Linked DNA regions of Yarrowia lipolytica. Each later gene encodes a partner of the first gene's protein in a complex. Links are inferred from orthologs where the notes say so. Each region holds a gene or a part of one and is shown in the gene's direction. Other genes may lie near its edges.

Region 1 (2,935 bases):
GATGCCGTCGCCCTGGCTAGCGGGAAGAATAGCCTTGATCTTGGAGTTAATAAAGGAAAACTTTCGAGAAATGGTCAGCAGATGGTTGCCTGCGTTATCGTAGACGTTGACCTTGAAGGGTCGATGAAGTCTGTACACCTGTCGCATGATAGCCTTGACAAAGCCGAAATCCTCCTCCTCCATGAACCCAAGCTGGTTTCCATTGCCATCCATGATGATGTATTTGTTGGCCTGTTCAAAGCCTAGGATCAGGTTCATCATCTCCATACGACGTTCAACCACCAGAATCGGCTCAGAAAGCATTCTGGTGATGGCATCAGCACCAGTAAGCACTCCGCCAGGGTTGGGTACCTGGTTGTAGTATGCAGGCTGCACCACATTGGGGTTCACGTTTGGATCCTGGGTGTCGACAGGTCTGAATCGTGCTCTCATCCGACGAGCATCGCCTCGAGGAGGATGCTGGAGTCGTAAAGATGACGAAAATGGCCGTAGAAAAGTACACACTGGCTGCCGGGAGCTTATCAAGCCGCTCAAAGGCCGTAACTGTCGCACAAACATGGTTGGACAACGTAGAAGAGAGACTGTTCACGGTGGTAGCAATGTCATACTGGATACATGCAAAAGTATGCACCTAGAGCTTGCATGCGATGGGCTAGTGGAGGTGTACTTTTCCCGGGATTGTGTGTTTCCAAAGAGCAAGAAATACTGGATTCCATTATTTCATGTCTGTGGAGCTAGCTCATAGACCTGGTCTTCTCAGTAGTCATTAATTTGACATCACACACAGACCCTGTCGGTATCCGCCTTGCCTTCAAAACGCCCAGTTGGGAAGACCACTCGGAAGTGTAATTTGGTGCCTGATAGTGTCGAGTCACTGTGATATAGCTACGAGTAGCTACAGTAGTTACTGTATATGGTCATACTAAATAGTACTGTACTTGTACGAAAGCCACAAGTAGGGTAGCTACACTATACAATGCTGTATTGTACTTGTACTAGCACGAGCACGCCTACTGTAACAAAATATAGAGTCGTACCCGCAGTTTTCGTAGACATTTGGAGATTATGTAAGCACACCTTTCGTACTCGTACTCGTACTGTAGACACCTGGGGAAGGGGGGAGGGTGTGATAACCGCACTGGTCGGGTCTCCACAGATGAGTTACAGCAAGGCCTGACAGTTTGACGTTCAGTGACAATAATAGCGACTCCATTACTGTACCTGACCCGCTCTTCCGATCTACTCCTTCCAGACCAACCAGCGATTACGTACATAAGGTACAGAACTCCCAACTGGCTAACACAAATTCTTTTGCTGTGAGACCCGCGCAAGTTTGTACAAGTACGAGAACATTAGGAATGACACAATTGTTGATTTGTAATTAATTCGCAGTCAAATAACTTTTTCTTACACCGCTATAATATCTCCAAAAAAGGCGCTCTACTACGTAATCCCTTGTTGTACATTTATATCTTCCTCGCCCACAGCTCATTCACCAGCCAATTAAGGTTACCGTACAAGGGCCAAAATTTCACTTGGACACATCCAGATCTCCATTTTGCACTCCAGACACCATGTTTCGAAACGTGATTAGCCGAGCCAAAGTGACCCAGATCGGCTCGATCCGATCCATCCACACCCCCGCCAAGCTTTCACGAGAGTCCAAGTACGCCCAGAACGGCCTGGAGGGTCTGTACTCCAAAAACGGCTTCAACACCGCTTGGACCGACTACCAGCGGTTCCTGGTGTCCAAGCTCACTGACCTGACCGTCGACACTCCTCTGCAATCGCGATCCCCTTTTGATATTTTGCGATTCACTGCCGCCGACCGAGATCAGGCTGCTACATTCAACTTTGCCTCTCAAGCCTTCAACAACCACTTTTTCTTCGAGGCTCTGGCCGAGAAGCCCGTGGCCCAGACCACAGCGCCGACAGACTACCTGCGTTCTCGACTGGAGGACAAGTTCGAGTCCATGGAGCGAGCCCGAGAGAACTTTTTGGCTACCGCCGACGAGATGACCGGAAACGGATGGGTCTTCCTCTACGAGGGAGGAGACAAGAACATGTACATTTCGGCTCACCACAACGCAGGATCTCCCTTTTCGTTCCAGCGATTCCAGCATCAAGAATTCAACTTCCCCGCCTCCGAGGAGGTCAAGCGGGACCAGCAAAACATTGAGGCTGCTGTGCGAAAGGGCCTCAAGGAGTCCATCCTGCCTCTGCTGGCCGTCAATGTGTGGCAGCAAGCCTACGTGGACGACTACGGAGTCAACGGCAAGTACAATTACTTGGAGAACTATTGGGAGTGTATTAACTGGGATGTTGTCAACGCTAGACTGTTTGTTGGTGCCCAGTAAGGGATGAATATAAAAAAGGGGGATCTGAATGTATATAGTTGAATGATTTTATCATGTAAGGGATGTCGGCAACAGTACGTCTCCCCACGGTTTTCACGTACTTGTAGTGGCTCACGTAGACACTATCTAGTGCTCTGTATACCTGAATCTGCTCACGTTGTACAACTGTTTGTCCATGTATCAAAAATAGAAAGCATTAATGTTTACTTTAGTGTGTAGCCAGAGGCTCGTGCTGGAGCTCTGCTCATGAGTCTGAAGCTCAGTACAGTATTCTTTTCAGACCCCCCATCTACTCATTAGAAATACCTCACTTCCAGCGTTAGAAACCGAAGTTCTTACGCCATTAGTCATTGTCCCATAGACATCCAATAAATAGCTCACTCTTTCTCATTATTACCTGTTCAGCTCTCCTGCGCCAACAATCAGCTGAACCAAATCCTCGTCCTCACACCAATCGATCCCAGAGGCGGTGATCAGAGCTGTGAAAATCTCTGCCAGAACTCGTCGTTTGTTTTTGGTGTTGTGTAGCTTGGCCTCGAGCTCACTAATAGCCTGGTTGTTTTGATGACGGTCCGCGC
Region 2 (2,699 bases), on another chromosome or scaffold:
GAACATTCTGGAGGAACCCGAGCCTGCATCCACACGGAATTCGGGTGTGCCGACGGGCGGAATTCCAGGCATGGACATTCCAGGTATGTCGAATGAACGGCAGCCACGTAATCAGTCGGTCATGTTGTCTCGATTGTTGTTTCTGGCCTCTGCCATGACCGCATCTTCGCTTGTGGGCACCGAGTTTGGCTTCCAGAACGGCGGAGGTACCGGATCATCCTCAGACGACTTTGACCGGTTCCTCTCTGGACTTTCGCGAGGTCTGCTCTCACCTGAGATCACTGCTCGTGAACCCTCTGGGGCGGAAGGTGTTCGACCCCTCAACTACTTTCGAATGTTTAGATTCCCTCCGACTGAAGGATCCACGTTTGTTCCTGTGCTTGTGGTCGGAATTAGATCTTCGGAAGATAACGGACAGGGACCCAATGCGGAGATCACCACTGATTCCATGCCGTTTTTCGAAGCAGCCACCTCCAGACCCATTCGTCTGAGTGAACCCACCGACACAGTAGAGTATAACCCTCTTCGCTCGCGCTACGAGCGTGGTAGATCTATCTTGGATCAATTCATGAGCGACTTTGGCCCATCATTCAACAACCCAGATAGACAGGGTAGCACAGACTCGTTGACGGAAATGCCCGACTCGGCATCCACTTACCATACCCCTCTGGCGAGCACGGAACAAGTCGACGATGCCGGTTCTGCATCTGCTTCCGCCATTTCTCCTGCTGTGGCTCCTCATCCTCTCATCCCTGCCACTTCTCCGGCTTCACAGACTGCCCCACCTCTGCCTAGCCTCCCTTCACTGCCTCCTCCGACTGGTGACAACGCCAATGAACCTCGGAATACTCGAGAGTCGCTACGAGAAGCCATCCCCGAGCGCCCCCTGAGACAGTCATGGATCGTCTATGTCTTTGGAGGCACGTACCCTGAAGACCATCCCATTCTCAATGCGGCTTCTCTGTTCACAGATGAACCTACCATGGAGGATCTGTCCCTGTTGGAAAGGCATCTGAGCCCCATGAAGAACCATCTGGCTACCCAGGAGGACGTGGAGCAGGCTGGAGGATTGTCGACGGTGAAAGAGTTCATCGAGGGCGAAAAATGCCCTATTTGCATGACGGATTACGAAAAGGGCGACGTGTGTCGGCAGCTCAATAAGTGCCATCACGAGTTCCACAAGGACTGTGTGGATCATTGGCTCCTGACTGGATGCAACTCGTGTCCCATGTGTCGAGGCGAGGGAGTTGCCAGGGCTTAAGTAGGGGTAGCATTTAGACATTACTTAATGTAACGAATTATGAGTGAGTCAAACAATAGTATTTGGTCGTATTGCAGAACTGGTAAAATTTAGTTGAGTTTAGTTGAGTTTAGTTGAGTTTAGTTGGAATTATCTAGAAGTATTTAAGTATAGGGATTGACGTGAAGATAACAGGACCTGACATTGAAGAAATGAGCAATTAAAAATTATAACAAGTTTGTTGTATGTCTGAATCATACATTATCAAGTATTTTTCATACTCATTTTTATATCAGATCATCTCATACTGGACAGCTTTTCCTACCACTGATCACACAGTACACTATCGAAATAAAGTTTTGGGTATGAGTTGCAAATTTCAACCTCCAACTTTCATCTCACCACACATCACCAGCACGACATGCCTCTTTTGCACGCCTCCAACCTCTGTGCGCACCTGCAGAACGTTGCACGAGTGGGCCGACCCCTCACATCCATTCCTCACAACAAGCTCAACCTGCAAATTGCCCTGGGTCTCTACCGTGAGGGTTTCCTTTCCGGCGTGCAGCGAGGAGACATTTACGGCCCTGATGCTGTCTACACAGAAACAACCCCCCAGAACGTGGCATCGCGACGGCTGTGGATCGAGCTCAAGTATCGACAGAACCAGCCCGTTCTCAACAGCCTGAAGCTGGTCTCCAAGCCTAGTAGACGAATGGTGCTGACCACCGAGGAGCTGCGACAGCTACAGCTTGGACGAAAGGTCAAGTTCGTCAACCCTCCCAAGATTGGTGAGGTCATTCTTATCAAGACTCCCGGAAAGGACGGAAATGTCATCGACCTCAACGAGGCCTGCCGACGATTCCTCGGCGGGGAGGTCATCCTTCGAGCCTCTTAAGCCCAATGAAAATGTACATAGTAAATGATTGGTTCTAGGTGTGTGTGCATTAAAGCGCATCGGTTTAGGTCTGTGCGAGTAGTCTTGGTATGAGTAGTACCTCTGTCGTTGGATCCCGTAGATGTCGTAGATTGTTGGATGTTCAGGATACTGGGCGGTTAGCGGTATGGCACAATACCTGCCATAGAAGCTTCATAATTACGTGAAGCGTGATCCAGCATCAGCTAAGATAAGGCAAGGTCAACTATGTCTATACATTTCCCCAGGCGCTCCTATTACACGCCATGGTCTTACTGTACATGCCGTCGTGTAATGTCTTATTTGTTGTCATATAAAAATTCATGTAAATATAAGTTGTGGGTATGGTGGATACTTCATAGGCACGATCAACGCATCTCGTCATGTTCCCTACAAAGTAACAACGCTGCCAATACCCTGGCTTCGCCATTGTCGCAGATCAACCTGCCATCCGGTCCACTTGCCAATAGCCTGTCGGGCGTTAGAAACATCGAACAGATCGACGTCCACAAGGGAACCAACACGGGGTCGGTAACTGCTTGC

What was found.
Region 2: YALI1_B21798g (region 1) and YALI1_E36866g share a complex: the UniProt entries of both Saccharomyces cerevisiae proteins name them as parts of the mitochondrial small ribosomal subunit. The link is inferred for Yarrowia lipolytica from reciprocal best matches to the Saccharomyces cerevisiae genes RSM26 and MRPS8.

Annotation. Positions count from the first base shown.
Region 1 is NC_090771.1:2,178,230-2,181,164, forward strand, and holds YALI1_B21798g (mitochondrial 37S ribosomal protein mS42), read left to right. Parts: upstream 1-1,574; coding exon 1,575-2,357; downstream 2,358-2,935. Other genes in the region: YALI1_B21787g (uncharacterized protein), read right to left, coding at 1-558; YALI1_B21816g (uncharacterized protein), read right to left, coding at 2,751-2,935. UniProt on the Saccharomyces cerevisiae protein: Component of the mitochondrial ribosome (mitoribosome), a dedicated translation machinery responsible for the synthesis of mitochondrial genome-encoded proteins, including at least some of the essential transmembrane subunits of the mitochondrial respiratory chain.
Region 2 is NC_090774.1:3,685,623-3,688,321, reverse strand, and holds YALI1_E36866g (mitochondrial 37S ribosomal protein MRPS8), read left to right. Parts: upstream 1-1,661; coding exon 1,662-2,138; downstream 2,139-2,699. Other genes in the region: YALI1_E36887g (uncharacterized protein), read left to right, coding at 1-1,261; YALI1_E36847g (uncharacterized protein), read right to left, coding at 2,547-2,699. UniProt on the Saccharomyces cerevisiae protein: Component of the mitochondrial ribosome (mitoribosome), a dedicated translation machinery responsible for the synthesis of mitochondrial genome-encoded proteins, including at least some of the essential transmembrane subunits of the mitochondrial respiratory chain.